4 linked regions of the Mus musculus genome follow. The protein of the gene in region 2 binds, or shares a complex with, the protein of the main gene of each other region. Links are inferred from orthologs where the notes say so. Each region holds a gene or a part of one and is shown on either strand. Other genes may lie near its edges. The genes, in order: Wnk4, Klhl3, Wnk3 and Cul3.

Evidence for each region.
Region 1: the proteins of Klhl3 (region 2) and Wnk4 are in contact, whole or in part, in a crystal structure (PDB 4CH9), measured with the Homo sapiens proteins. The link is inferred for Mus musculus from reciprocal best matches to the Homo sapiens genes KLHL3 and WNK4. Residues at the interface, in NP_059111.2 of Homo sapiens: Arg339, Phe355, Gly357, Ser358, Leu359, Arg360, Thr386, Phe402, Gly404, Gly407, Ser432, Tyr449, Gly451, Ser481, His498, Arg528, Tyr577; in NP_115763.2 of Homo sapiens: Glu557, Pro558, Glu559, Glu560, Pro561, Glu562, Ala563, Asp564, Gln565.
Region 3: the proteins of Klhl3 (region 2) and Wnk3 are in contact, whole or in part, in a crystal structure (PDB 5NKP), measured with the Homo sapiens proteins. The link is inferred for Mus musculus from reciprocal best matches to the Homo sapiens genes KLHL3 and WNK3. Residues at the interface, in NP_059111.2 of Homo sapiens: Lys312, Arg339, Phe355, Gly357, Arg360, Thr386, Phe402, Gly404, Ser405, Gly407, Ser432, Ser433, Tyr449, Gly451, Arg454, Cys456, Ser481, His498, Arg528, Tyr577; in NP_065973.2 of Homo sapiens: Glu537, Cys538, Glu539, Glu540, Thr541, Glu542, Val543, Asp544, Gln545, His546.
Region 4: the proteins of Klhl3 (region 2) and Cul3 are in contact, whole or in part, in a crystal structure (PDB 4HXI), measured with the Homo sapiens proteins. The link is inferred for Mus musculus from reciprocal best matches to the Homo sapiens genes KLHL3 and CUL3. Residues at the interface, in NP_059111.2 of Homo sapiens: Pro73, Tyr74, Ala77, Met78, Asp82, Met83, Ser84, Glu85, Glu92, Ile93, Lys94, Asp95, Pro125, Ser128, Leu129, Gln131, Met133, Arg136, Asp160, Val161, His162, Thr163, Thr165; in NP_003581.1 of Homo sapiens: Ile44, Asn49, Ser50, Gly51, Leu52, Ser53, Phe54, Glu55, Leu57, Tyr58, Arg59, Tyr62, Thr63, Leu66, Lys68, Met118, Asp121, Ile122, Met124, Tyr125, Arg128, Val129, Gln133.

What each region holds. Positions count from the first base shown.
Region 1 is NC_000077.6:101,259,198-101,266,992, reverse strand, and holds the start of Wnk4 (serine/threonine-protein kinase WNK4), read right to left. Parts: upstream 6,427-7,795; 5' UTR 6,322-6,426; coding exon 5,713-6,321; intron 4,271-5,712; coding exon 4,098-4,270; intron 3,225-4,097; coding exon 3,004-3,224; intron 2,726-3,003; coding exon 2,568-2,725; intron 1,914-2,567; coding exon 1,825-1,913; intron 1,747-1,824; coding exon 1,530-1,746; intron 1-1,529. UniProt on the Homo sapiens protein: Serine/threonine-protein kinase component of the WNK4-SPAK/OSR1 kinase cascade, which acts as a key regulator of ion transport in the distal nephron and blood pressure.
Region 2 is NC_000079.6:58,011,159-58,018,488, forward strand, and holds part of Klhl3 (kelch-like protein 3), read right to left. Parts: intron 5,390-7,330; coding exon 5,288-5,389; intron 2,801-5,287; coding exon 2,672-2,800; intron 77-2,671; coding exon 1-76. UniProt on the Homo sapiens protein: Substrate-specific adapter of a BCR (BTB-CUL3-RBX1) E3 ubiquitin ligase complex that acts as a regulator of ion transport in the distal nephron.
Region 3 is NC_000086.7:151,195,646-151,203,464, reverse strand, and holds the start of Wnk3 (serine/threonine-protein kinase WNK3), read right to left. Parts: upstream 5,388-7,819; 5' UTR 5,326-5,387; coding exon 4,792-5,325; intron 1-4,791.
Region 4 is NC_000067.6:80,335,411-80,343,453, reverse strand, and holds the start of Cul3 (cullin-3), read left to right. Parts: upstream 1-2,763; 5' UTR 2,764-3,142; coding exon 3,143-3,208; intron 3,209-8,043. UniProt on the Homo sapiens protein: Core component of multiple cullin-RING-based BCR (BTB-CUL3-RBX1) E3 ubiquitin-protein ligase complexes which mediate the ubiquitination and subsequent proteasomal degradation of target proteins.

The sequences.
Region 1 (7,795 bases), on a different chromosome or scaffold from region 2:
TCTCTGTGTCTAAAGGGTGGCTGTGGCCAAGCCTGACAGCCCGAATTTGACCTCCAGGGCCCACATGATGGAAGGAGAGAACTGACCCCCACAAGTTGTCCTCGACCTCTACATGCATGCTAAGGCACCTGTGACCCCCACATACATGTGCACAGTCACATACAAAATAAACAAGATGTCACTCTAAAAAGACTGACTCTTGGGTCGAGCTGGGCAGTGCTTTGGAGATTGCTTTTGTGCCGGGCGGTCTCACTGGCTGGCTTGGAGCTCACTGGCTGGAATCATAAGAGGTTCATCTACCTCTGCCTCCCAGGTGCTGGGATTAAAAAAAAAAATGTGACCCCCGGGGCTAGAGAGATGGCTCAGCGGTTAAGAGCACTGATTGCTCTTCCAGAGGACCTGAGTTCAATTCCCAACAGCCACATGGTGACTCACAACCATCTGTAATGGGATGCCCTCTTCTGGTGTGTCTGAAGACAGCTACAGTGTTCTCAGATACATAAAATAAATAAATAAAACTTAAAAAAAAACACAAAAAACAAACAACCATGCCTTCTAAGCCAGCTTCTTGACCCATCACATGTGACCCTTGACCTCGAAACTGCCACTCCTCTATTGAGAATCCCATATTCTCACCCCTCCTTCCATTCAGGTTCTCAACAAGCTCTCAAGGTTCTGCCCTGGCATCTATCTCCACACGTACCTTCTCTTCCACTAATCTCTGCCCATCACCTCCCCTCTCCTTTTCAATCAGCTTCGCTCTGGGCTTTGCTGGGTGAGTAAAAGGACCATCTGATTTCAAATCTAAAAGGCTTGAGATTACATCCCTCTTTGTCATTTGTTTTCTTAGGACTCTAGACAAAACTGTCAGTCTCTCTGAGCATACATTCCATTGCCCTCCCAAGAGGGTCACGTGAAAATGCTTTCTTTCTTTAAGTCACACGTAACATTAAGGAGCACCTACTATTGCCAAACAGTAAAGGACTGAGGGGAAAAAAAAATCAGTAAAATATTATCCAACCACGGATAGTTTCTAGTCTAGCAGAGGAGAGGGACGGGAAATGTATTCAGGTATGAAACAAAGCCCAAGATTTGAGGTTGTTATAAAGCCGCCCCCATCCCTCACCCCAACCCACGGATTTGAAAAGAAGCATTTAGTGACCGTCCTGGAACTGATGATGCTAAGCATAGACCGGGGGGGGGGGGGGGGGGGGCGGGGGGGACGGGACAAGAAGGTGGAGAGGGAAAAATAAAGAGATAAATTGCCAAGAAAGGCATTCTGTGATAAACGAATCTGCAAGGCAAAGAAGTGAGGTTAGGGTTTCCAGGATTTGTTCTCAAAAAAGAACCCTGGTGTGCGCAGACGGATTAGGGCGGAAGAGGCGGAGAGACCCCTGTAGGATCTACAGTTCTGGGTAGGGGGTCTCTGCTCACTACTCCAGAGCAGCACCCCGGTCCTTCCTGATGACTGATGGCAGATTGTCTATTACACACTCAAGCAAAGCAGGATCTATCTACACTCTCCTCACCATCTCCTGAGCCACCTCCTCCGCAGCGTCCCGGCCGAGCTGAAACAGGAACTCGATGGCCTGGTTGTCTCGTGGACGCCCCCCGCGCCGCGCATCCTCCATGCGCAGCCAGAGCTTGAGGCCCGGCTTCTCTCCATCATCTTCCTCTGCCAGCTCCACGTGCACACCTCGTTCCTCGCGGAAGAACGCATGGGCCAGGAGATCCTGGATGGTGAACCTGGGGACCGGCGGACAGTGAGCGGAGACCGCTGCCACTGCCCCATCATCTCCATCCCCTCTCTGCCCCGGACCCCACCTCTCGTTCTTATCCGTGCGGATGCAGCCTTCAATGATCTCCTTCACCTCTGGCATCTTCACCTTGTAGAAGCTGTTGGGCTTTGTGCCCTGAGAGAAGGGATCACATGAGGCCACGGGTTGCCTGCGACCCGCGACCCCATCTCAGCAAGTCTGCAGTGCTGGCAGGCGCCAAGGCCTGGGGGAGGTTGGGGGAGGATGCTGGTACTGAAAACTCGATTTCCGATCCCATTCTCTCCACATAGTGTTGGTGTGACCTTGGCCAAGACTGCCAGTTGCTTGTTCTCTCATTTGTAAAGCACAGGGTAAAACGTTTGCCTGGCTCACTTAGCCGGGCAACTAGAAAGATCTACTGAGATTGGCTGTGAAGTTATCTGTAAACTCTTTGGATTAAACAAATTCTTACCAGCTTGTGTGAAGGGCTTATGTGCATACAATACATTTCTGTTTCACCAGGGCATCTTTCTGTCTGGCCTGGTGGCCTGGTTTTATTAAAGATATATATATATATATATATACATATATATATATACACACATACATATATGTATATGTGTGTACACATATATACATTATTTAATATATGTACAATATGTAGTATATAATCTTAATATGTTAATATAATATGTGCTAATGTTATATATTAATATATGACCATATAAAGGGTACTAACTACATACAGACTAGTTAAAGCATAGAAGAGTGGGAGGGCCACTGGGGATTCCCAAACCCCACCCTTCTCACCGAAGTGACCTTGCGGTAGATTTGTGCTGCATTCTGACACTCGGAGTAGGGATACTCAGACGTAGCCATCTCCAGCATGCACATGCCAAAGGCGTACACATCCACAGCCTCGTCGTACTTTTCCTCGTACATCTCAGGAGCCATGAATTCCGGGGTCCCTATTGGACCCACAGAAAGAATCAGGCTTCTTCCTCCTGGTCTCCCCCCTCCACTTGGGTATATCATATGGGGGTCGGAGGGAGTCTTAATAGCCCAAGAGCAACCCCAGGGGTTCTGGAGTGTTGGTGACCAACTCTTGCCCAAAGCCTGTGTCAGGGGCAAGAAAAATGGGTCTCCCTAGATCAATAGCTCTGCTGGAGCAGTGTGAGAGGGGTCCCATGCTCTTTTCTTATGCAAAGAAGGTAGCAGTGGCAAGGGTCCTGCTGGAGAGACGCACCAATGACGCTCTTGGCAAAGGAGGCGCGCTTGAGCGTGGCCAGTCCGAGGTCTCCGATTTTGACAGAGCCTGAAGGGCCAGTAATGAAGACGTTGTCACACTTGAGATCTCGGTGCAGGATGGGGGGCACTCGGGAATGAAGGAAATGAAGTCCCCGTAGAATCTGGCGACTCCAGCGCTGAAGGACTCGGGGCTTCATTTCGCGGAACCGCCTCAGGTACCTGGGAGAGGGTGTGTAACCATGGTCAGGGCGGGGATATCTATTGGGACTGGAAAATTCCTTCCTAACCCATCCTTGCCACCACCTCTGCCTCCTCTGCCAGCATTATTTTAATTTAGACCCGTCTGGGTCGGAAAGAAACTGAATCAATGAGTGCAGTAAACAGGTTACAAAATGATTCTGATGGTAAATTCGCAGATAGGGCCGCAGCCAAGGACGGTGCTGTGGGAGCGCCGGAAGGAATGACTAACGGTCCCAAGAGTGGGGAAGGACTAACTTTTGTCTTGAAGGAATATAAGTTCAAGGGTGAAAACGGGGAGGGAGGGATGGAGACTTTCCAGGCTAGAGAGCCACAGTAGTGACAGTTCAGAATGCGAGGAATCACTGAGAATTGCGTTCATCTGTAACTTCTGCTCAAGAGGAGAGTGTGTCGTGGGGACTGAACGGACTTTACCCCCGGGGCAGTGGGAAATCTTGAAGAGGTTTAAAAGACAGAGTCAAAGGGTCAGGTCTCCCCTGGTTTACAGGAAGATAGTATAACTTGAAGGGAGGGCAGATTGGGAAAGGCCGTTTAGGAGGGCTGCTGGGAGTTGGGAGGGTGACAGTGGTGGAGCAGCAAGGTAGGGACAAAGATGGGCGGGGGGGGGGGGGGAGACGAGACCCAGTGCTAGGACTTATGAGACACCACTGTTGAGAATGAGGGTGCGGCAAAGACACCCAAAATTTTGACCTGTATGTTCGGTGCACATTGACATTCACACAGACTGGTAAGAGGGAGAGAGCCTGGTTTCAAGTTTGAAGTGACTTGGGAGAAGTTCCCAGAGCCTCGGAGTGATGTTCTATCCTCCCCCCTCCCACCCAGGCCAGAGCTCACGTCTTGAGCGTGCCCGAGGTCATGAGTTCTGTGACCAGCACGATGCAAACCTGGCCCCTCAGCACCGACTTCCAGGAGTCATAGAAGCGGACGATGTTGGGGTGCTGCAGCCCCTTGAGCATCTCAACTTCCTCGGAGAAACGCTGCCGCTCGGCCCGAGAGAGTTTCCGGGTCTGTGGGATGGGGTGACGGGGTCACAACAGTTCCAGACACACACACACCCCAAGAAGAGCATGGGACATCTGGGGTAGGGCTGGGGGAAGAAATGAGGGCGGGAGCGTACAGCTGGGGTATGGTTGGTGAAACCGCTAGCCAGAAGGGCTGTAGACCCCCAACTTTTGGCTGGTCCTTTCTTATTGCTCTAAAACGCATCCACCCTGGGCCTGGGGCAGCACTCTGGACCCCCTGCTGGACACAAGCGCCTTTATGCAACCAGGTCTGGGAGTTATGCACTCAATAGCGCCTTTGTGGCCTCCAGAGCCTACCGTGGAAGGGGCGGGGTGGGGTGAGGGTGTGTGTGTGGGGGGGGAGCAGCCAGCAGACAGACCAGGAGCAGGGAATTGGGGCCGTCAAGAGGTTGGCCCTAAAAACTAGGAACTGCAGAATCTAGACAGAGTCAGAGGAAGATACCAAGAAAGAAAAGATCCAGGGCCAGGAGGCCACCCGCCCCCCCATGGCTGGAGCTGCCCTACCCCTCTTTTTATCCCTCTCCCTCCCCCTCCCCTGAATCTGGCTGATTTTCCAGGCGGGGCTTAGAGCCTGGGACGCAGCACTAGCAGTCACTAGGAGAGAGCCCTATGCCAGGACCTAAGTGGAAGGATCCTTCCTCCTGGTTTTGTACCCTAAAATTTTCTGGGACCACTCACACTTAGAGTGGGAGCTCCGGGAGGAAGAAACTGCCAATCCACATCCTCCTGAAGTCTAAAAGTTGCAAGGGCTCAGCTCCTTTGGCAATGGAAAGGGAGACCCCAGGTATGCATAGGGATGAGAAGCCGGACTGGACTCCAGCTAGAACTAGAGCTTCCTGTCCTGCTCCTTGAAGCTGTTGAGAAATCTGTAAAGTTGACAGCTCCAGAAAGGGCCTGAAGAACCCGCTTCTGTCACAACTACCCTAAATCTTTCCGGAGGTGGAGAGGGCCTTGTCCTCAGCTCCTGAACTCCCACATACCATCTCTAAGTCTGTAAAGAGGGAGAGGAGGAGGAGGAGGAGGAGGAGGAGGAGGAGGAGGAGGAGGAGGAGGAGGAGGAGGAGGAGGAAGAGGGGTGGGTGGTCCAGAGTCACAGCGGAAAGTCTCAGAACTTGAAGGAACAAGAGTGGAAGGGGCAGGAGAGACTGGAGGGCTACCCGCTGCCCACCCAGTTTTCCAGCCCTCAGATTTGTAGAGGTTTGAAAGTGAAGTTGTCTATGCTCATTGGCAGCCACTATAAACCACCCGGCTCAGTTTCTCCTGAAACCACCCAGAGTCAGTACAATCATGCCGGCAAGGAAAGCAAGAGCGCCTGGACAGCTGACAAAAAAAGTGATCCTTCCTTTGATGTTGTCCTCCCGTTTCCCCAACCTAAGACCCCCAAAGGCCCCATCCCGAGGCACCAGAGAGGGGGTGCCCAGCCACACCTGCAGCTCACACCAGGCCACCTCTACCGTGGTGTCGGTGTCTAGCCCTCGATACACGGTCTTGAAGGAACCTCTTCCAATCTCAATGTCAAACTTGAGGTATCGGCCGTCCGGAGACGTTGCCACAGCCTGGGTTTCTGTGTCCTCTTTTTCTTCCTGCTCCCGCCGCCGTTCCCGGGCTGCAGCATCAGGAACCCTCGGTGGCTCCCGGGACCCTGGACCTCCTGAAGATCCCGTAAGCTCAGGACATGCAGAGTCCACAGCCTTCACGGGAGCTGCCCCCATCCATGTGCCCTCGGGGGGTTCTTTAGAGCTTGAAGGTGGGCTCCTCGTGGGGCCAGCGGAGTCTGGAGGATCCGGGGGTTCCGGAAGGAGTGAGGCTGGTTGAGACCAGGAGCTCAGCAGTCCCAGATCGACTGAGCTGCGGCGGCTAGGTCTCGAAGAGCGCGGCCGAGGCTCAGCCTTCCCAGAGAAGCGGCGCACTCGGCGAGGAGGTGGCCCCAGGCGGGTCGGCCCCGTAGAGGTGAGAGCCGGAGATGGCCGCAGAGCCAGGTCAGCCTCGGTTTGGGACATGGGGACCCCAGTCTCCGTATTTCGAGGTGCTAGCATGGGAAGGGCCAGGCGCCGCAGAACGGAAAGCCAGGAGGCTGGAGGTTGCTGCCTGACAGGCAGACCGGCTGGGTACACCGCGCTCCAGCGGAGCTGCTGGGGCCCCAGCCCCCGACTGGCCTGCCCCGCGACCCGCCCCCGGCTCCGCCCCACGACCCGCCCCCAGCCGAGACCGGTCCTCACCCCCCAGGGCCACCCCTTGTGAGCCTGGCGAGTTGCAGTGTGGAGCTGGGGTACTGCCCCTCATCTCGACTGCTGCTTAGGCCCCCGGCTGCGTGCTCTGCTTTCCAGAGTCCCCGCCTTTAAACCTTCCCGGCAAGAGCTGAGTGAGTGGGAGGCGGCAGTGGGTAAGCTCCCGCACCAGGAGAGGGCAAACACATTTGGGGTGGGGGAGTTGGAGAACACTGGGACGGGAGATGAAAAGTGACCGCCGCTCCTATGCCTCAGCGAGGGGGAGGGGCACCACCAGCCTGCACACCCTTGATAAGGCAGCACTACCAAGTCCTAATCAGGAGTAGTAGCCCCAGGCCTAACATCGGTGTTGGAAAGGTATGGTTTTCTTGGCTCAGCTAGGGCCCTGGCCTGCACAAGGATGGGTTGGGTATACTCCAGTCAAGCCCCTCCCCCACCACCCGGCCCTAACCAAGAGCTTGTCACCCATCAACTCCACCCCACCTTGGCCTGAGCCTGGCCCTGGCCAGAAAGGCTGTTTTTGCTGTGGGCTCTTTCCTCCCCTTGTGTTTGCCAAAGTCTTCAATAAACCAAAGTCCACATCCGGTTTACCCCCCCACCAGCTCCCCTTGGCCACCGCTACCCCACCCGGACCATCATGGGTAGAGGGAGGGGCTTCAGAATAGTTCAGGACTTCCATGGGGGAGCAATTAAGTGACTCCAATTCAGAGAGCAAGCAGCCTGTCCCCAAGCTATGTCCCACCCGAACTCCTCCACACGACCCACCCAGCACAGCACATGGCAAACCACAGGCTCTCAGGAGCTCCCCCCCCCCCCCAGGCCTTTCTGTACAAAGGCCAAAGGATTCTTCTTTTTCCTTGGCTGAGACTCAGTCAGGTGGAACTCTGCAGCGCCTTCCCTAGTCCCAGTTCAGCAGTAGTAACAGGCCGACAGTGGGAGTAGAGATTTTAATATCATAAATCAGAGTGGGCCCGCCTCTCACCACCAGGCCCCTTCTGGGGCTTCCTATCTTCATACTGCCTGGCCGGCTGCCTGCAGCCAGGGCTTCCCCCATCCCTGGGGAGGATCCAGCACCAGCCTGAGAAGGGAGGCAACAGCAGCTAAAGGAGTGGGAGGAGGAGAAAGAAGCTTGTGCAGGCGCATGTAGGTGGGTGTGTACTTATGTGTGAGAACACATGTAAAGTGTCAGGTTTATAGACCCTGGCTCGGGGACAGTATAGGATGGGAAAGGAGGTAGGGCAAGAAACGCATCCTTTCTCCGTGGCACTGTGGGCTTACTCTA
Region 2 (7,330 bases):
ACTTCAACACTCTTCCTCACCAAGGGTCCGTCATGTCCCCCGGTGGCATACAGCTGTCCGCTGAGCACCCCAACCCCTGAAAGGCAGAACACAGTGTCCTGGCCTCAGGCTCACTATAAGAACCAGCATCCAAGAGGCCTCAAGCCTGGATAGTCATTGCCAGCAGGGAGACTTAGGGAGCAAGTGCTGTCTTCCTGGACCTCATTGCCCTAATCTGTAAAATAAATGTGATAATCCCCTGCCTGGCTCCCCATAAGACAGGCAGCCTGCAAATAAGGAGGTTCAAAGCCAAGACCCTGTTTCTGCTTTTAAAATGTAAATATGTGTGTGTGTACATATACAGGGGCATCAAAGGGATTTTTCAAAAGGTTCAAAGAAATCCACTGAAATGTAAAAAGATGCTAATTCTCATCAGAAAACCAGCCCCAGTTACCCTGTGGCATATTCATATTGCCTTGCTTTTCCTCTGCATCTTATTATTCGGTTGTATATCTGTTGAGACAGAGCCAGGTGCTGAGGTCATTGCTAGGGAGACTCCCTGCCAGCCTGTTCCTCCAGCCCTTCTTCCCCTTGATGGCAGAAGGCATCAGATTTGTCCTGGGGGTGGGGGGGGGGAGGAGCTGAGCAGTTCTTCACTGCTGCAAGACTGAGGAGATTCAAGCCATTCAGGAAGAGAGAGGGCTAGTGAGGGTGGCTTGCCTGGCAGCTGGGACACCTACACCTGCCTCTTCAACACCCGCTCTGGGTGGCCCTTTCTCTTTCTCATTCATGGAGAGAGGGAGTTGGAATGTACCCATGATTCTGTGGACTATTGCCTTCGGTGGAAAGACTGCATCCTTTCTGCTGGGTACTTTCTAGAAAAATAAAACCTTAGTTCCAGAGACACTGGCCAGAAGCCCAGTGGGGTATCTCAGTGAATTCGATGTGCAGCCAGGCTGTGGGTCTGGGGCTGAACCCGGAGGCTATAGACTTCATGAGGTCAGGAACTGCTTGTGTTTTGCCCTGGTCTATTTCCCTGAGGCTACTGGTGATGGGCTCCTGCAGATACTATCTAAATAACAGGATGTCATGTAAAATCCCGGCCAGAAATTATAGCGGGTTGCCAGTGGTTCCTGGCAGTTGCTCTAAACTAGCAGCAGATGGTGCTGTTGTACCAACAATGACCTGTGTCAGGTTGTGAGAGTCTGAAAATTCAGTAGTTGCTTCACCTTCTCTTCCTCCAGGGTGAGCAGGAGCTGACACTTCTGGGACCCTGAGATGGTCTCTGCCCACCGTGTCCATCCCTCTGCTTATGCTGTCCACTCATAAGGGAGCTAAGAGCCACCTAGACTTTCCCCCAGCAACTCTCCCACAATCCTTGGTAGCCTGCTCATAGACTCTCACATAGAATCCGACGGGCCTCAGGGAGCTATGACACAGAGCCTTCCGTCTTTAGGTCTTTGGCTGTCACCAGCTCCCAATGAGACAAGTACACAGGCTCCTGGTGCTAGTGATGACACATCCCTAACTCTTTATCAGAGTGAAGCACTGAAGAAAGGGACCCGGGAACGGGGTTCCGTCCCAGGACAGGGCTCCGTAGTAATCTGAACAAAGGGCTCTTCCCAGCAAAGGTCTGGGCCTCCCATAAATAGAAGCAGCTGTAATGGCATTGTCTGGGGCCTCCAGCCAAGGATGGGCCAGGTGACGTCCACCCCAACCACCGCCACAGGCCTTTAGCACTTGGCCCAAGTCATAAATGGATTTTTAGGAAGTAAATAGAAGGTTCTAGAAGCTATAATTACTAAACCATCAGGAAAGGGGGAAAATGTCACAGGATTTATGGATGGAGCTGGCCCTTTGGGAACATGGGCAGCCTGTGCACTGGACAGCTAGGGTGTTAGATGGCAACGATGGGGAATGGGGTCGCCCAAGTTGACGTGGCAGGATGGGCTACTGGACTAAGTGCCTGGACTTCCCCCATGAGACAGAAAAGGGGGTCATTATCTCTCCTCGGTGGAGAAAAACAAAGCAAGAAAATGTGGGTGTAGGGGATCGAGGTTTATCTCCAGCCATAAACACTGCTATGCCAGCCTTTACTCCCAAGACGTGGGCTTCAGGCAGGCCAGCTAGGCTTCTTAGCTAACGCCAGGGCAGTAGAACCTGTCCTCCCTCAGGGGAATAAGGCTCATTATTAGACGGCTAGACACAATTACCTTGGAAAGAGAATTCTAACTCTGCAAGCCTTCTATTCTACGACCTTGGGCAAAGTGATCCACCTCAGGCCAGACTGACTTTCAAACTCTGGTCAGAGGAATCAGCAGTGGTGGACTAAGGTGAGAGGAGGAGTGGGTGGGTGGCGGCTAGCCTGGGCCATGGAGAAATTGTCTCAAACAAACACAAAACGGGGCAGTGAAGATGACACGCCTTCCATGTTGAGCAAGGAGTCCCTGGGAAAGTCTGGTCTGTGTACATGTGTGCGTGTGTGCGCGAGTGTGTGTGTGTGTGTGTGTGTGTGTGTGTGTGTGTGTGTGTGGACATGTAGTAGCCAGGTTACTTACAACTGGAGGAGAAGAGACAGGATGAGGGGAAACAGGCACGGTTCAGTGGTTGGTCTTTAGTCTCAGCCTGTAACCCACACACACTCCACCCCACCCCCATGCTCTCCTGTGCCCCAAGGCTCTCACATACGTACCAGCGCCACTGCGTCGGGTGCTCATGTCTGCCACGTATATCCACTCGTTGGTGGCTGGGTTGTACTGCTCCACGGTGCTCAGGCACTGCCTGGAAGCACCATCGTAACCCCCGACGGCATACAGCTTCCCTGGAATAGACCAAGTGACTGAGATTGGTGTTGGTGGCACTGACACAGAACCGGAGGAGCTTGGCTGGTGCTCCATTTTTAACCCACAGAGGTACCTCTGTCTCAATCATCCAGAAGGACCCAGCTTGCTCTCCACACACAGGGCACATCTCCCCCACCCCACCTCCACCCCGCCACATACCCGCCTGCTCTGAAGCCCTGAGATGCTTAGAAGCAATGTTGAAGCTTCCTAAAAGAGGCCCAGGTACCCAGCACAGAGCACCCACTTGGCATCAATGGGGTTCGATATAGGCTTGCTTGAGGAGCTAGGTTAAAGCACACCAGCAACGGGAGCTACAAGGCTCTCCACCATGACCACACATCAGGCTTTCTGGACATAGGCTCATACTGACAAGTGAAGAGGATACAGAAGAATATTCTTCCAGCCCCACCCACGCCATAAGGGAAGCGCTCTGTGTGCACCCAGGGCTGAGGCAGCTGGGATTTTTCTGCCGGCCAACTTTGTTCTCTGAGCTGTATACAAGAACCCTGAAGTATTATCAAGTATCCCTCAATAAAAATAAGGCTGACCTCCCGTGGGAGAGCCATTTCCATCTGGGGCTGGGAGCTAGGCGCTAGGTGCAGTAAAGAGAGGGGAATCATTATCTGACCTGTGAGGACAGGGATTCAAATATATGGGGTTTAACATTTAGTCTTAGATACAATAGGAGAGTTCCTATCTGCGGGGACAGGGAAAGAAGCCCTACTTCACCTATGGATATCAGATCTACAGGATATCATGACACCAGCCACAGACCATATTGACACTAGCTGCAGGCTAAATAAGTACAGGGTTTGAATTACTTAATCAAGAATTTTGGGTGAGCCATTAAATGAGTCCCTAACGTGGAGGGTGCAACCAGGATGTGAAAATTCACATTCTCGGGCCCAAAACAGCGCTATACCATCAAGGCTACCAATCCAGAAATCCTATATCATTGAGCTGTGTTTTTCTCCAAGTCTTTTCAGCTGACCTTTCTGAAAAAGGACTCATGCACAGCTCCTCACTCACAAGGTCCAAGCTGACAAACAAAATCCCCCGGGGCCACCTCTCCGTGTGTGCCAGCTCAGGTGGTCCCATCTCTGTGATTCTCTGCTCTGTTGGGCATTTCTGTCTACACTCCAACCCACACCTCACCTTGTCCTTATGAGGGATTCTTCTAAGCTGCAAGTAGCTAATTACCCTGTAATTCTTAAGGGTCATTCAGACTGCATAGCCTCGGTAGTGTGAGGATGTGCCTGGAGAATGGGCTGTGTGGAAAGCTGAGTCCTTAACCACTATGAAGCACAGTCCACTCCAGTGCACCCTGCACATTCTTAGAAACACTTTCTGCCGTCATGAGGCAGCACACAGCCCATAGAGCGTCAGGTGCAGGGTGGGCAAGAGAAACAAACTCCCAGCTTCCCTCTACACCTGCAGGGCAAGCCATTTGCCTGCCCTTCTGTAAGCAGACACACTGACACTGCCCGTGTCACGGGCAAGATTTCCAATCTCTACCATTGAGACACCTCCGCTAACCCTATCAGCCATTCGAATCTTGTATCAGCTGAAGCAAGCAGGCTCTTCCTGAATGTGCATGCTGTTTTTAGCTGCTGGTCTGTTGGCTGCTCCTGGCTGAGGAACGAGAAGGGAAACGAAAAGGGAAACAAGAAGCCAGCTAGACAACGCTCTTGGATGTGGCTGACAAATGAACTTGTATCTCTCCAAGAGGATACAACTTATCCTGATAGGGGGACAGAATCCTGGCCTCTGTGTCAGGACTGAACTCAGAAACTTCTACCTATCAGCAATTGAGACCTGACTCTGGCTCCAGATTAGGAGTCATAAGACCTTGAGGACTTCTCTGCTATTTACTATCATAAGACAAGGACTCGGTTTCCCACTGAGAAAAATCGGAGTCCTGCCTGTGTTCTTCCAGATGGCTTGAAAGAATGAGTAAAAGAAAAAAGATGTTTTACGAACTTCAGGGAACGCCCTCCTGCCTTAGCCACAACCCCATACTTAGCCTATCTGGGGACATGTCAGACCTGAGAAAAAGAAGCCCGCATTTCTCACATCCCTGCTAGCATGCAACACATAATAATTATGCAAGCATAATTTGTACCCCTCCCTGCTACAGTGTACCCCAGTTTGTATGTTGATTCTGAGCTTCCAACATCCTTCCCATCCCCCACTGTTAGCAGAGATACAAGGGACAGGCTGTCACTTTCCCCCAAGTGTCCTCTTTCTCCCCCAACCTGCTGACCCCCTTCGTAGCCTTGGCTCAGGAGTTTCCCCACCCAGTCTCAGCCCTCCTAGTCTGTTTACTAGAGACAATGAACTTAACTCTGGTCAGTGACCTTAAGAGTGGAGCCCACAGTAGAGGGGGCATCAAGCACAATACTGGACTCAGGACAAGACCCACGGGCTAGGGTAGGAGCAGCCACCACCCTCTGCTACCTCCTTACCCTCCACAACACCCACTCCCACGCTGCTCCGCCGTGTGTTCATAGGGGCCACGAAGAACCACTCATTGGTCTTGTAGCTGTAGGCTTCTACGGATGCCAGGCCTGGGGAGAAGAGAATGGTGGGATTTCTACAGCCATGGGCCTCGCTATGACGTGTGAGGAATGCTGAGACCAGGAAGAGATGAGGGCAGGTCTACAGACTCCATATCTAGCTTGGTACACCTCTGCCTAGTGTGTGGCCATGGTAACTCCTCAATCTGCACAAGGTGACCACTGACTACCAATGGTTCTGTGACATACAAGGGAGCTGGTAAGAAAGCTAGGGGTATGCCCTAACTGTACTATAGATACGAGCCATTAAACTTACAGAATGGGACATTTGATCCCAAATAAACGCCCCATGATGCCCCTACTGGGCACCAGTCCCAACCCCCTTCCCGTGTCTTCCTCTATTTTACAAGCTAGATGGCTAAAAATGTACCTCCCAAGATCCCATGCAGGTAGGTGACCCTGAGCCCTAGGCAGAATTCTGACGAAGATTTCTGGGGTTCCCTTGGCATTTCTGATGCAGGGGTGACCTCTTTCCGCTTCTTGCTACTAGAGACACAAGCACCCTGGCTGGAGTCAAAGCAAACTATATTGTGATCATGGGAGAAGCCCTGAGGATCTTAAGGTACTCTGCCCCAGTATCTGTGTGCAGTCAGACCAATTGGGAACAGTGACCCCTGAATTCCATGCTTCGTCTCTGGAGTAATACAGCAGTCAGCCAGGCTTTCCCCTCTGCCGAAGAAGTTCCACTGCAATAACCATCTATGCCCTTCTTAGCTTATGCTCACTGAGGAGCTGTCAGAGAGACGTTCAATAAAGAAAAACAAAACAAACAACACTGCATTTATCTCCCTCAGAGACAGAGACTACTGCTGTAGATGGAGTCACTGTCTTCGATAAACTGCCTGGCTCAGTATCCTGTCTGGTGACGTAAGCACAGATGTCCTCTCTCCAAACTCACACCCACTAACACTTCAAATTGAAATGTTTACAATTGTTTCTTATGTGTGTGAGTGTTTGGCCTGCATGTATGTCTGTGCACTCCATGAGTGCAGTGTCTGTGGAGGCCAGAAGAGGTCATCGGATACCCTGCAACTGGAGTTACAGATGCTTGTAAGCTGCCACACGGATGCTTAGAAATGAATCTGGGTGGCACATGCCTGTAATCCCAGCACTTGGGAGGCAGAGGCAGGCGGATTTCTGAGTCCCAGGCCAGCCTGGTCTACAGAGCAAGTTCCAGGACAACCAGGGCTATACAGAGAAACCCTGTCTCGGAAAGCAGAAGGAAAGAGAGAGAGAGAGAGAGAGAGAGAGAGAGAGAGAGAGGAAGGGAGGGAGGGAAAGAAGGAAGGAAGGAAGGAAGGAAGGAAGGAAGGAAGGAAGGAAGGAAGGAAGGAAGGAACCTGGGACCTGCGGAAGAGCAACCGATGCGTGCATTCGTTCTCTCTCTCTCTCTCTCTCTCTCTCTCTCTCTCTCCAGGTCCCAGGTTGAAAATTTTGAAGTGAGATAAAATGCGGGGGTGAGGGGCCCCTGAGCAGTGATATAGCCTGCAGGGCTCTATGGGACAATAGAAAAATTGATGGCCAATCGGGGTGCAGTGCCTGCTCTGAGCCAAGCACCTTAGGCCCCAATCTTAAGGTCCCTCAGCTGCTCTGTAAAATGTTCAGACTAGAATCCTGAGGCAGATCCCATCAGGGCAAACCCCTTCCTCTACATGATGCTCTGAGGAAACAGGCTAAGTGTGGGGAGATAAGGAAGGGACCCTTCTGCGTGCGGGGGCCTCCTCAGGATGTATTGTGTCACAGAGTAGCTATGGCTACAGAAGTCTTGTTTCCACCGACAGAACTGCGTAACTGAGGAGGAAAGCACTTAGGAGTCTGGTTCCTGAGTGCCCTGGAGATCCACATTTACACTGGAGGCTTGTTCTCGAGTAGTGGCGCTGGGAACTGGCGGGACCTTTGGGAGAGGATCCTTAGCACTGGAGGTGACCTTTA
Region 3 (7,819 bases), on a different chromosome or scaffold from region 2:
GTGCAAACTACTGAGCCCTTAGACAACAGCTTCTGAGAGTAAAACAAAAACATATTCTTATATTTCTGTGTTTTTAAAGAAACCAAAATTCCAGATTTGTTACTACAGTTACCCAATACCATGTAGTCATCTCTAAAAAAATATATATACATATACAAGCTGGGTAGTAGTGGTGCACACCTTTAATCCTAGCACTTTGGAGGCAGAGGCAGGCCAATTTCTGTGAGTTTAAGGCCAGCCTGGTCTACAGAGCTAGTTCCAGGACAGCCAGGACTACACAAAGAAACCCTGTCTGAAAAAACAAGCAACAACAAACATACACATATATGAGGGCTAGAAAGATAGTTCAGAGATTACACACATTGCTTCCAGATGACTGGAGTTCAATTTCCAGCACCCACATGACAGTTTACAACCATAAGTAACTCCAGTTGCAGAGAATCAAACTGGTGCCCTATTCTGGACTGTGTACATCAGGCATGCACATTGCAGCTCACAACTATGTGTAACTCCAGTTCCAGGGGACCCAATGCCCTCACACAGTCAGGAAAAACCCAGAAGCACATAAAATAAAAATAAACAAATAAATCGCTGTGCTGGTGAACTAGCTCAGCAGTTAAGAACACTGGCTGCCCTGCCAGACACACTGAGTTCAATTCCCAGCAACCACATGGTGGCTCACAACCATCTCTAAAGCTATCTCTTGTCCTCTTCTAGCATGCAAATATACATGCAGACAGAACACTTATAAATAAATAAATAAATTTTTAGAAACTTAATTGATATATTGGGGAAAGACTACACAAAGCTAAGAGGTGGTGCCAATTGATAAATGCAGAAAGTAGAAAATATAAAGTTGGCATTTCAGGCAGGAGGATCAGAAGTTCAAGACCAGCTTGGGCCATCAAGTTCTAGGTAAGTCTTACAAACAGAACATCATAATCACAGTGTAAATTACCTGTGTAAAGACACCAAAGAGTACCAAAACCTACCTGAGATGTATTTCACAGTGTCAAAGTATATACTCCAAAGATATTTATTAATCTAACAAGTAGATAATAGGAACAATCTGACAGTAGGCAAGTGGTCAAAATTACCTACCTTATCTTTAACATATACCAATATCATGTATCATTGCTATTGCAGACTTAAGTAGATGGGCATCACTTTTGTGGTAGTCTTGATAAATAATGCAGAGCTTAGCTAGCCAGCCATGGCAGTGTATGCTATAATAATAGTATTTAAGAATCATAGTAGAAGGTTTTTTAAATGAGTTCTTGGTGTTTGTAAGCTATATAGTAAGACTTCATCTCAGAAAGAGAGAGAGGAGAGGGAGAAACAGCTAAGACCCTTTGAAAGTTCAAGGAAACCCTGGGGGAAAAACTGTTAAAGAAGGGGGAGCACACACAGTATAGAAACATGGATGTAATCAAATAACTGAAGAGGAGTATTTGCAGGCAAACTCATATATTCTGGTTAAGTTCAGTATTTTAGTTTATAGGGTATCTTTGTAACCCTTTTGTAAGTAGGAAATCACCTGAAAATCAGTTCAAAAAGAAACCAAGGTAGTAAAGGAGTAGCACCTCTGTTTCCTTCTGCTTCTAACCCTCTCATTTCCTTTAAACAAACCCATAGTTAAAACAGCCCTTTCATCTTTCTGCTAACTCCAATCGCCAAGGCTTGTTCATATACTAACTATACTCATTCTACTCTAGGCTTTATGAAATCTGTCTGTGTCTGCTTTTTCTCCCTTTATGTGTTCCTACCATTTAGTATAGGTCTGGCACATTGCAAGGAATGTTTGTTGACTAACCAAAAAAAAAAAAAAGACAACTGTAATAGGTCACATCCATTTCCTATTGCTACAGTAACAAATTAGCATAAACTTAGTGGATTAAAACACAGATGTATTATGTTCCAGAAATGGGAATCAGAAATCTACAGTGAGTCACATTAGACTAGAATTCAGACAGCAGCTGTTTCTTCTGGGGACCCTAGGCAACTATTTATTTCCACGCCTCTTCCAACTTTCTAGAGGGTATCTGCATCCTTTGGCTTGGTGACCTAATCCTGCAACAGCATCACTCCAAACTCTGCTTTTATTCATAGATCTTTCTCAAATGATTGCCAACCTGCTTTCCTCCTTACAAAGACTGGTGATTAGATAAAACAAGTTAAATTCACTATTTCCATCTCTAACTTAGCCTCATTAGCAAAGCTAGTTTTAACCAAGTAACGTTGAAGCCATGGCATCTTTGAGATGTCGTTATTCAGCCTACTACACATATCAATTTCTTTCTCTTTCTTTTTGAAGTCAATTCCACAAATAACTAAAAATAACTCACAAAACTATTTAGGAATTAATGATATTTCCCAGACTAGACTTGTCCCTTTCCACCATCATATTTGAGCAAGCTTCATCATTCCTAGATTCAAGAGAATCTCTTTAGCCCTGGGTCTACACTTAATATCGATGACTGGATCTGACAAAGACAAAAGGAAATAGAACTAAATAGCATTGGGATGAGCTTTAATGGAATTAACCATATTCATTTTATTGGTGGCTTAAATAGAATCTAGAAACATTTCTGAAAAGGTAAGAGAACTATTTTAGAATCAAAATTAAGTGTCCTACAGTGAATATTTTAAAAAACTGCATTTTTAAGAAATAAGATCTAGCATCTAATTCAATATTTTTCTGCCTCAATCTCCTAAATGCTGGGGTTAATTAATGCTTAACCCTTAACCATGAATTTTCGGTTACTTCTTCTACTTCTACATTATCTTAAATATAATAATATAATAATCACTACTATAATAAAAATACACATACAATGCTCACTCAACATGTTAACCTGCTATAGTCTATTGTGCCTATTTTCTCTTGCTGGTGGTTTTGCTTTGTTTTGATTTTCAGTAGCATCTTTAGTTCACAGACTCTAGCTGGAGTTGCTAGATGTCTAGGTACAACTTCAAGGAGGTCCAGGTCTAGAGGTGTAGCTCTGCTGGCAGAGAAGTTCAGCCCCTGAAAATCAAGTAGACTGGGCATGGTGGTACATGCCTGCAATCTCAGCACTTGGAAGTGGAGGCAGGAAACTCAGAAGTTGAAGATCATTCTCAGCTACATAGTGAAGTTGGGGCTAACCTGAAATATATCAGACCTTATCTCAAATAAAATATAATAATCTTCCTATACCAAACTCTTAAGATTAAATTTTAGTCTACCCAAATAGCAAACAATATAACTTTATAATGGGTGGAATCTGCGATATTTTATAGGCACCATTAGAATTTAAACAACAACCTATCTGTAGTGGCTATCTTTAGTCAATCCTAATTTTGTGATTTAGGGGTTTTTTGTTGTTGTTGTTATTGTTATTGGGATTTTTTGTTCTTGTTTTGAGGAAGTGTCTCATGTAGCCCAGGTTACATATAGTCAAGAAGGACCTTGAACTTCGGATCTTCCTGTTGTCACCTCCCAAGTACTAGAATTACAGACATGTACCACTATCCTCAGTATATGTAGTGCTAAGATTGAACCCAAAGCTTTGCTCATGCATGCTAGGGCAAGTACTGTACCAAACTGAGCCAGATTCCAAATCCCAATCTTAATTTTAAGCATCCCATATGAATGCTGATACTTTTTTCATGAGTTGGCTGAGGTCTCCTTATATTTGACCTGTATCTAGCTGAAACTATTGTCATTCTAATACTTTATATCTGATGCTGTTCTACCCCTCCTTTGTTAATAGTACTACATAAAACTGTCTGCTTGAGCTGACTCGCTAGCATCTGCAGATTCTGCTGATTCCACTTAGCTGTAATTTCAAAGGTATGAGGATAGAATAGCAAAAGAAGTTTTCAAAGAGTCAAAAAGTCTCTTTCCTGTTTGTAAAAATATCGATGAATTTCACATTTTTGTAAGAAAAAAATAAAGGTAGATCTCATACTAAATACATTCCTATCATACATTTAAATATGGAGTGTAACAATCAGACAAGATATATACACTCAATTCTTAAAATGAGATGTTAGTGAGAATTGGGGGAATTTCCTAAAGCTAATAAAAAATTTTTCCCAAAGAATGACACAACACAGACTTTTTGTTCTTAATGCAGGAAAGGAAAGCAAAGATGGCAAGTGCCTGTGACTAGAGAGACAAGTCCTACTATGACTAGAGAGAAACTAGAGGGACTGAGACAGAAAGACCACCAGTCTGAACCCAGCCTAGGCTACAGAGAGAATTCAGGGCCAGATTGGGCTATATATCGTGTATCAAAATAAATGATAAATGGAAAGCAAAAATTAGTTTTATTACCAAAGGCTGGGTATTTTTATAGCTCACTCGTAGACTACTTGCCCAGCACATACAAGACCCAAAAGTTGATCTCTAGCATCAGAATATACATAAATGAATGAATGAATAGAGGAGAGGAAGGGGTATAATTCATTGGCAAGATACTTATATAAGGCTCTGAGTTGATTCCCTGCACTGCAAAATTAAGTTAAAGGCAAAACTGGCATGGAAATATATCTCAATGGTAGACTGTCTAGCTTGAAAAGGCTCCTGATTCCATCCTCAGTGTTGCCACAAAAGAAGAGGAGGAGGAAGAGGAAGAAAAATAGAACAGTGAGGGGAAGATAATTTTTAAAAAGCTTGGCATATATTCCTAACAAGAGCATAATTTCTCAGTGATGGTAGAAGGGCTCTTTACGTCTTCATCCGGATCATTCTCGCAGTCCCGGTAGCTAAATTTGAAATTCATAAAGCCAAGAAAATTATATACGCACCTGTAGCTCACACCAAGCAACTTCAACCCATGTCTCAGTGTCCAATCCTTTATATACCGTTTTAAATGCTCCTCTTCCCAGCTCTATATCGAATTTCAGGAACCTGCCACTAGGGGAAGTTGCAACAGCCTTCATTTCTGCTTCTTCTTCCATTTCCTTTTCAGTTTTCTCCTTGAAGCAATCTTTTGAGGATTCTGAGGTTGCCTTTGAACATTGCTCATATTTAACTTCTTGCCCACCTCTTAGCACATTTGTAGGAACTTTATCTACTCTTGAAATATTTGTTGCAGCTTTTCTTTCATCTCTGCGGGAAGATTCGGCAACTTTGTCATCTTCTGTCATCTCAACACTCTTTCGGAAAAACCTCTTTCTTTCGATGTTTTCCCCGGAAGCAGAAAAGGTACTGTATTTTTCCTTTATTCTCGCTTCTACAGTCAGAGGGGCAACAGCCCGGGCAGCCCTGTTTTCAAAGGAAACTCCATCAGGCTTCTCAGAATCTTCTGTGCTAGCTGGCTCCCCAGAATCAGTGGCCATTGTAACTAAGGTTGGCACTAAATTTGTTCTTGTTTCACTCTTCAGTCTACTTACATCTCAGGTATGAGAATTTTCAGAATGTACTTCCTTTTATATGGTCATATATTCCCATAGCAACCTGAAGAATGGAAAAGAGATAGTTTTAAAATCATACAACAGAAATCATTAAGGAAAAAACAAGTCACGGGATTTAAACTTTCTTAATAAAAAGTTTATTCTTGTTGCTGTACAACTTAGCAACTAAGATAGCAGGGACTAAGTATGCGTTATCATTTTTAATATAGCTACACTGACTAGTAAACCACTTTGCATACAGCTCTTTTTTATTGGATATTTTCTTTATTTACATTTCAAATGTTATCCCCTTTCCTGGTTTCCCTTCTGCAAACCCCCTATTCCATCCTCCCTCCCCCTGCTTCTATGAGGGTGCTCCCCCACCCACCCACCTACTCCCATTTCACTGTCCTGGCATTCCCCTACACTGGAGCATCAAGCCTTCACAGGACCACGGGCCTCCCCTCAGCTGATGCCAGACAAGGCCATCCTCTGCTACATGTGCAGCTGGAGCCATGCATACAGTTCAATATGTCTTCATATGCAGAAACCTAGTTCTCAGCTCATCACAATCGCCCAAATTCAATACAGGTGCCCAAATCCTAAATACACTTAGCCATACATAAGTTGAGTAAAAATACCACATGTTTTCCAGAAGAATTTTGCCTAAGATTCTGAATTCACCTGATACTAGTTTCTTTAGTTTGTGGTCAAATATATGTAGAATCAAGTTTACTATTTTAACTATTTTACATGTAGTGCCCCATAGCATTAATGCATTATTCACAATGTTGTGCTATCTTCACCTCTTACAATATTTTATTATTTGTGTGAGATAGCGCTCTCCTACTTTCATATGAGTTCCTGGGACTAATCTCTAGCTGTCTGCCTAGTAAGCACTTTATACACTGAGCCATCTTGCTGGGCCTATCATCACTTCAATCCATTCCCAAAGCAATTTCATCATCTTAAGCTGACAGTTTATATTCATTATAGAAATTGTCCTATCCAGCTGAGTGCAATGGAATGCACCTATAGTCCTAGTTACTCTGTAAGCTGAAGGTAGAGAATCACCTAAGAATCACAAAAGAAACATACCTATTTTTATTCATGTACATATGGAAAATAAAAGTTGGTGTGCATTGAATTCTTTAATTGCTCACCATATTTTTGAGACAGGGTCTTACTATTTAGTCCTGGCTGCCTTGAACTATGTAGACCAGGCTGGCTTTGAACGTACTTACTATATTGCCATCTTCTGTGATATAAAGAAAGCAGCTACAACACTACTAATTAGGAATACAGGTAAAAAGCTTACAAAGTTTCAATGTACTACTTTGCTCCTTTTTTTTTTACATGTTTTGAGATTTTTCAAATTAAAATATTTCAGAAGGCTGTGGAGATGGGCCTGCTAGTAAAATGCTTACTTGGCAAGCATGAACGCCTACATTTAGATCCTCAGCACCCTTGGAAAATCCAGGTGCAATAATGTATGCTTGTAATTCCAGTGTTGAGGAGCCAGAGACAGGAGAATCCTTAGGATGAGCTGGCTAGCTAGCCTAGCCAAATCAGTAAGCTTCAGGTTCAGTGTCTCAAAATATAGGGTGGAAGGCTGGGTGTGGTGGCCCATAGCTTTAATTCAAGAGCTTTGAAGGCAGAGACAGGCAGATCTCTGCCTTGTCTACATAGTTACTAGGTAACCAGGTCTACATAGTAAGACCCTCTCTCTAAAAAGGTAGTGAGCAATTGAAGAAGACAGGTTAAGATACAGGCACAGGCATAGGCATGCACTTTCTGAAAAGGAGCTCAATAACACAAGAAATAATCCAAGAATTTATAAATGACATTGCATGAAATTAAAAAGCTCTGCCCAGCAAAGGAAACAATCGCCAGGTCGAAGAGACAACCTACAAAACCAGAAAAAGAAATCTTTACCAATAACACATCATACAGTAGAGTAATACCTAGAATACATAAAGAACTACAAAAATACCCAAAAATCTAAAGCATCCAATTAATAAATGGGCTAGTGTGGACAGTTTTCAAATGAATACAAATGGCAAATACATGAAAAAGAAATTTTGATATCCTCAGCAATCAATGAAATATCTATTAAAACTACACAATCTCACTCCAGTTAGAATGTTATCATAAAGAAATTAAATGTTGGGTTGGGCATGGTGTCCCATGCCTTTAATCTCATCACTTGTTAGGCAGAGACAGATGGATCTCTATGAGTTTGAGGCTATCCTGATCTACACAGCAAGTTTCACACCAGGCAAAATTACATATTGAGACTACCACCTCACACCAGTCAAAAAGGCTAAGATCAAAAACTCAGGTGACTGCCGGGCGTGGTGGCGCATGCCTTTAATCCCAGCACTCGGGAGGCAGAGGCAGGCGGATTTCTGAGTTCGAGGCCAGCCTGGTCTACAAAGTG
Region 4 (8,043 bases), on a different chromosome or scaffold from region 2:
ATGTCCTCCTCTGGATAATGGAACTGAGGCCACTGTTTCCCTGTGTCAGGACACTGTCAGCAAGAGTAGGAATAATAACTGTCAGGCATGCAAGATCTAGTGTGTTTTCATTGCACTGTGCTTGCTCTGCTAGGAAGGTGGCTGCTTGCACAAAAGATAATTATCTGAAAGGTCATCTTCATTGGAAGTGAGGGACCACCATGGGGCAAAGAATAGTCTACTGACATAGAGGTCTTTTCATATATATTTTTGAGGATGCTGCTTCCCTAAGAAAGAAAACAAATCTCTGATTTCTGAGGTGAAGCACACAGAAAATTATTGCTTAGTTCAACTTGGGACTGTGGTTCCTAATTTTGTGATATAGAAAAGGACTTTTATGTTCTATGATGGTGGGTCTCAACTCATTCATTTATTCTAGTACTTCACATCTATACTAGCAATTTAGTAAATATTTGATTAAACAAATGAATGGACAAATCAGCAAATTTCTCAATGAGATTAATTTTGAAGCATTTTTTGGTAGTTTTTTGGTGGTTAAAATCCAAACAGTTGATAGTGATTCTTTTAAATGCATTTAAATTTTGCTTAAGTAACACAAACATGGAAATCTGTGTTTGTAAAACAAATGAAAATAGCTATATAGTTTTGCAAGTGAATAGCAATAGGTCATAAGGTAGTTAATTCCTCTATTCTGGCTTTGGGTGGTTTCCCAAGTTCATGGAAAAACGAGAAAGATTAGGGCAATGCACTGATTTTCATAAGGCTAAACCTTTCAATGTAGAATAGTTTTTGTTATTTTTTAAAAAACTTGCAAATAAAGCATCACCTTCATAAGACTCCATGAACTTCTGAAACACCTGGAACATGGCATTTAGAAAGGAAGCTGTGGAGTGTCACATTACAATTTTACACTTTTACTATTCACGCACTTATTCACCACCAAAAGCAACAAAACAAAAAACAAAACAAAACAAAAAAACCAAAACAAGATCCATGACAGCATTATAACTAAAAATAAGATTTTTAAATCCTCCTTCATAACTGTGTGCATTACCTGCAGTCAAGTCAGTCCTTCCTGATATTCTTATATCCAGGGTTGCTTCTTTCTCCATACCCACATGCATCTTTGACTGCATATTACAAATACTATTGGCTTTTTCTCATGAGAGAGAACATGCAGTTCTTTCGGGAAAGCTGATAAAGTGGCAGAGCTTAGATTAAAGCCAATGGCTTAAAATGTATATTGTAATAAGAAATAGAGCCATATGATAGGACAGCCAATAGAAAAAGGTTTTATATCCTGATAATTATGGAAATGGCAATCAATTAGCATACTAGTTATAAACAACTATGCATCACTCACTATATTCATCAGAGCCCTTCCTTGTTTTACTTAACCCATTCTTGATATTTTATTTTTAGCTTAACTCTCTAAGCTTAGTCATTACAAATAATTTAGGGTCAATTCAACCATAAATAAACAAGCTTTATCAAGTTTTCCCTTTTGGAGGGCGGGGGTGTGTGAAGGGTGTTCAAGACAGGGTTTCTCTGTGTAGCCCTGGCTGTCCTGGAACTCACTCTGTAGACCAGGCTGGCCTCGAACTCAGAAATCCACCTGCCTCTGCTTCCCAAATGCTGGGATTAAGGTCATGGGCCACCAATTTCAATTGTAGGTGCTAATCCCAACAACAGTTCACTCAAAATGGGAAGATCCAAAACTGGGAGAATCTCAGATTTCCCAGGGGCGTTGGAAACAGCAAATGAGCAAGTATGCAAGGTAGATGTAGGATTCATACTGAATTAGAAGCCAAAAGCAGTCGAATTGGACATTTCGACTATAGGATAAGAGTCCCCGAACAAATAGAAAAATGTCTCCAAACCTACAGCAAACTTAATTTCACAGTGCTTTTGGTTTTAATGATCTATACTGTTCTTGGAAATGGTCGTATGTTTAACACAATATTGTAGTATATTAGGCATTTGTTTTATTTCGGCACAAACAAAAACCGGGTTTTAACATTAGTGGGCTCTGGATCCTCCAGAAGGTATCAACTAATGAACAAACCCAGGAGCTTGTACAGTGTAAGAAGGCCGGGTTGATTCTGAGGCGCTGCAACACCTAGCTAAAAACAGGACACTGGTTTCGCAGTCTGCAGGTAACTCAAGCACAAACCCTGCTTTCAAGTTTCTGGCTGGGCTCAAGTACCCATCCCTAGGCCACGTGCCCTAGAAAAACACAGGAGCAGTTCTAGGACGTAGAACCTTCCTCCTCGCACCCCACGCCCTTTCCCAGGACTACCTACCTACTAGGGCCAAGCTCAGCCCCGCCAGCCCACAACACAACACTCCCCTCTCCCCCTTCCGGAAATTCCCCCGCCCACTACCCACGTGACCCACCACCTTCGCGCTCCACCAATCAGAAGCCACCTCAGCCTACTGGGGTCTCCGACGCTCCTCTTTTGAAAACGCAGCCTACGTCTCCTGCACCAGGCCCCGCCCCCCAGGGCGCTGACTACGCCCATTCCTTAATCCACCCCTCTCCCCCCTCCCCACCACGTTCAGACCCCACTTCTCCCTGCGCCCTCCCTTCCCGGGCTTCGCCCCACCCCGCCCCCGACCGCGCGCCCGCCCCGATCTCGCGAGATCTGACGTGCCCGCCGCGGCCTCCCGCCTCCCCTCCCGTCCTCCCGCCCCCTCCCCCATCTCTCCACTCTCCGCTCTCCTCCCTCCCTCCTCCCCCCTCCACCCTCTGGGCCGGATCTCGTCTCGCTGAGGCGGAGGAGGAGAAGGAGGAGGAGGACGTTCGGCCTGCGCAGTGAGATGTTTGTCCGTCGCCGCCGCCGCCGCCATCGCGGAGGAGCGCGATAAAGGGAGCCGAGCCCGGCGCGAGGGGAAGCCCGCGGAGCCGCCGCGCCAGCGCAGCCCCCGGCCGAGCCCGAGCCGCCCGAGCCCGAGCCGCCGCCCCCGCCGCCGCGGCCGCCCAGGGGCCGGCCCGCCGCCCAGCCCAGCCCGGGGGCCGCGCCGCCGCCCCCCGCCGAGCCCCGCGGCTGCCCTCCCGCCTTCAATGTGACACCGGCGCCTCCGAGTGCGAGCCGCAGCCGCCGCCGCCGTCAGCGCCGCCGCCGGGGAGGGGCCGAGCACCATGTCGAATCTGAGCAAAGGCACGGGCAGCCGGAAGGACACCAAGATGCGGATCCGGGCCTTTCCGGTGAGTCGGTCCTCGGCGCCCGGGACCGGGAGCCGCGGCCCGGAGCCGCACGCGAGGCCGGGGCTGAACTCCGCCAACAGGCCGCAGCCGGCCTCCCCTCCCCCCACGGCCGCCGCCGGTGGCGGAGCGCGAGGCTTCCCGGCAACGGGGCGGCGCGGGGCCGGGTCGGCCACCTCCGGGGCCGTTCCCCGCGCCCCGGCCGCCCCGGGGCCTCCTTCGCTCGGGCCTCGGGGGCCGCGGCCCTGAGGGGATGCGCGCTGTGGCCGCCGCACCCGTCGCGTGGGGCGTGTGTGTAACTTTTAGCGTGCGGTTTCCAGAAGGAGCCGGCTCGGCTTTTACGGCGGTGGGGAGGACTGTCCACCTCTGCTCGACTCCGTAGTCAGGGGCGGTCTTGCCATCCCACTGCCCCACTCACTGACAGAGATGCTAGAAATGCCCACTGGCAAAACACTAGGAGCATAGTATTTATAGCATCCTTGATCCTGCAAAGCTTCCTAAGCGCTTGACCCACTCCGGTTCAGAATCGCCCCTCCACTTCTTGGAGGGCCAGGCACAGCTTTTCCGTGTCTTAGTCAAGGAGGTCCCCAAGAATAGTTGCCACTCAGACTTGTTTTACCTTGTACGTTTTTAGCGACAGCAAACATTTGCTCTTCAGAAACTTTTCCTCTTGGCGTTACGTTGAGTCATAGGCTTGCGGTGTTTAGTAGATGGAGTAGTATGTAACTTTGGATGTCATGCCTCGATCAGATAGCCAGTGGCAGGCAATTAAAATGTCCTGTTGTAACAAACTGGACGTACTTGCTCGTGTCGCTACAGTGACAGGTAAATGTCAAATAGACAAGCCATCAGTGGAGCAGAATTGTAAAAGTAAAACGGAGGGAGGTTGTTTTTCCCTTCTAAGACTCATAAGCATTCTGTCGTGTGGGAGGGGAAGGGGGCCTTTGTCATCACTTTTTGAACAGGCTTTTCCTGAAGTACCCTTTGCTGTGAGGAATGAAAGACCACGATAGTATTGTCTGAGTTAAGTAACTTTGCCTTGGAGAACTTGAGGGCCTCTGAATTCCTCATCCCAAAGAAGTGTACAAGCGATGCAGAATTGTGACTTTGCAAGGGACATATTGTCAGCATGTAAAAACTTGCACCTTTATGTAAATAAATGGGCTCTATGTTAACATGTAGGGTATAATCAGGAGGACGAGATACTTTAATAATAATTGCATTATGAACGATTTTTTTAAGTAAATAAGAGATTACACCAGAAAGTGAGAAATGCTAGAAACACAGTGCCAATAAAGGTAACTATTATGTTTTCCTTTGTAATTGGACAGTGAGCCAGGTTTATGAACTTGAATAATTTCCCTACCTAATCAACCACCCAAGTGATTGTCAAATCCACATCCTTCCCTCTTTTTTTTTAAGCGAATTCAGACATGGTTGTTTTTTATGTTTTAATTTTTTTTTAATCAACTATGACACTGATTTTTCTAGGAAATATTTACTCTTGGTTCTGTTGTTTCTTTGTTGTTTAGTAAAATGTGAAAGAGCTTATATTTGACCAGTTAATATTTTTCAGAGTAACCGGTTCTACCTTTATCTGTGTTTGCAGCTCTTTGACCTCTAGGTTTCTCTACTTGAACCTGTTTTCCTCTCCCCATATACTGAGTACTGTATGCAGGCACTGTTTATTCCTAGAGCTTTAGGACTTAGCAGTAGATGTGAAAAAGGAAAAGATCAGTGGTTTCTGGAGCTAGCATTAGGGATTAGAAGCAGGAAGAGAATTTTGTACCATTAGCTGAATGAAGATGGTATTAGTGTGTGATAGGCTAGTACTAAAACTGAGATTTTTGTTTTGTTTTTTGTTTGTTTTCCAGTTCATAAGTAAATAACCATAAGTTGTTCCCATTGAAATAATTGGCTATTGTTGAGGCTAAATAATGCTCCAGTGATATTTTATTGAGTTCTGGGAAGTGAGTCCATTAGGCTGTCAGAATTGCTTTCATTCAGATTAGATGTCTTGTATATAAGTACAACCCACTTGGATTCTTAGAAGTTAAAATACATAGTATTTCATACACAAAAAATACCATTTATGTTTATTACATGTGTGTATTCCTACAACTGTTATGTGTTATACTATGTGGATATGTAGTTAGCTATAAGTAATGGCAGTTGCTCATTTCAGGTTTTTTATAAAATGGATGTATAAAAGGAATGAAGTAAGTTTAGACTTGTTTGATTTTTCATTGTACAATAGTGGTAAGTTAACTTACAGAATATATTTCATATATAGATGAGTACTTTATCAAAAAAGTACTTTATTAAAGTTCTACCAAATCAGGTTCTCTTACATTTTTAGTGCATATTTTAAGTTTGCTTTCACATTTTTAAGCAGAATAAAAGTTACACCACATTAGCTTAACTTATATTTTAAGTTTTTTCCCCTCCCTCAGTTTAAACCTACAAAATTTATTTACAAGATCAAATTTTTCTGTATTTTTAACTGTTGTCAGAAAAAATCCCTTAATTTTTAGACTTCCCTTCATTATGTAGCGTATAGCTTATTATACATCTTTCTGTTGGTCATTATTTTAAGAAGATTTTTAAATTACGCGTGTGTTCAATTGTACATATGAATGCTGAAGGTACCTGCAGAGGGTGGAGTCAAATACCCTGGAGCTGGAATTATAGGCCCTTGTGAGCTACCCATTCCAATGCTGGGAACCAAAATTCTGGTCTGCTGCTGGAGCAAGGGACACTTTTAACCACTGCACCACTCTCCAGCCCCTATTGATAATATTTTGAAATTCTTATCAAACTATAAGTTGGAGCTACAGAAGATTAATAAGAAGGGAGTTTGGTTGTGTATGGATTTGAGCTAAGTAATTCCTTTGGAAAAGATATTTTCCTTTTTCCACATGTTTTAATTCATACATTCTCAGCTCTGTATAGTCCATTGAGTTAACCTTTCTCTGAAAAGCCATTCCTCGTCGTATTGTCCAGAATTTTTGTTCCCATGGGCTTTAACAGGCTCGATTGGAATTGAACATGTGATTCTTGAATAAAAATGCTATCCTTAGATTTAGGAGACACTGAAAATCACTTCTACTTTCTGACCGTTCTCTTAAAAGTGCTACCATGGAGTTCTAGAAGTAATGTCAGTTCATAGTTTATACAGCTTGCTAAATCATAACAGGGACAACTCTTGATGTAATCTCCATGATTGTAGATGAATTTCACCTGTGCAACATGGTCAGCAAATGGTGCCTACAAAGTGACAGACAAAAATGTTAAGATCATTCATGACAGACATTAGAGCATGAAGAGATGAGGACTTGGGTATATAGTTGATGTTTCTTCTATTTCTAGCTACAAAAGTATTTGCCAGATTTAAGGGACATCTTTGATCTTCATGATAGGTTTATTTCCTGGAGAAGGTACTTGGTACAGAGAAGTATCTGGACTGTATATATAGGAGAATAACAGTTTATTCACACAAAGCCAGGAATTAACTGTAAATCTATTTTCATCCTCTGTTTCTTACAGAGAAATTATGTAGGAAGGTGTATCAAAATGTTGCTTACACTGAGACTTATGCTTTCGACTTAATAGCAGTTAATGTTTCCTTGCTTTAGAAATTAGAAAGCAAAAGAGAAAAAGGAAATAAAAAGCATAATATTAATTTTCATCTTTAAAATTTTTTTATGTACATGAGTGTTGTTGCCTCCTTGTATGTCTCTGCATCATGTATGTGCCTGTTGCCCTTGGATGTCAGGGGAAGGCATCAGATCCACTGGAACTGGAGTTGCAGATGGTTGCTAGCCACCATATGCATTCTGGGAACTTCGTTCTGAGCCATCTGCAGGTGCTTTTAACCATTGAGCCATTTCTCAAGTAGCTTACTTTGTTTCTTAGTTATATGTGTGTGCTTATGCCCATAAGTATAGATGCCTATGGAGACCAGGAGAGGGTAATGGATCCCCTAGAGTTGGAGCTATGGGAAGTTGAGAACTGAGGACTTGGTTGTTGGGAACCAAACTGGGATCTTCTGCAAGAGCAATACACATTGTGCTTAGTCAGCTCTTCTGCTCTAGTCTACTCAACAATGTCCTTTTAGATATAACAGCAGTTCAGAAGACTCTATGTATGGATATATGCATGCATGTGAGAAAGGAGTCTGTTATTAACTTATGTTTGTGTGTGATGTGGGTATGTGTGTCTGTGGATGTGTTTGAGGAGGTCAGAGAACTTTGGGTGTCCTCGTCTGTCACTACCTTATTTCCTTGTGATATGTTCTCTCACTGAACCTGAAGATGGGCTGGCAGCCAGCAAGTCCCAGGAATCCTTTGGCCTTCCATAGAGCTGAGGTTACAGGTATCCATTCACACATCTATGCTTAGCTTTTTACATGAGTGCTGGGATCTGAAATCAGATCCTAATGTAGCAAGCACTCATCTTCACTGACCCACTCTCCAGCTCCATGAATTTTAAAGCCTATTTATACAATATAGGCTATAATGTGAAAGTCTGGCCTTTCACATATAGCACATTCCTTACGAAGTTGAATCATTCACATAAAACAGTCATTTGTTAGTCGAAATAGTAATAGCATTTGGTCAGTTCAGGAAGGATATTGAATTATGACTGGAAATATTACTACTTTTCTTTATATTGTAAATATGGAGAACTTAGAATGTGTTTTTTTTTTTTTAGGATTCTCAGAAAGGTCTGTCTCTAGCAGATAGACTTCCATGTTATTGGGTAATTTTTATTTTAAAATAAGTAAAATAAATAAATAAAATAATCTCTTTATTCCTTTTTAAAACATTAGTTTTATT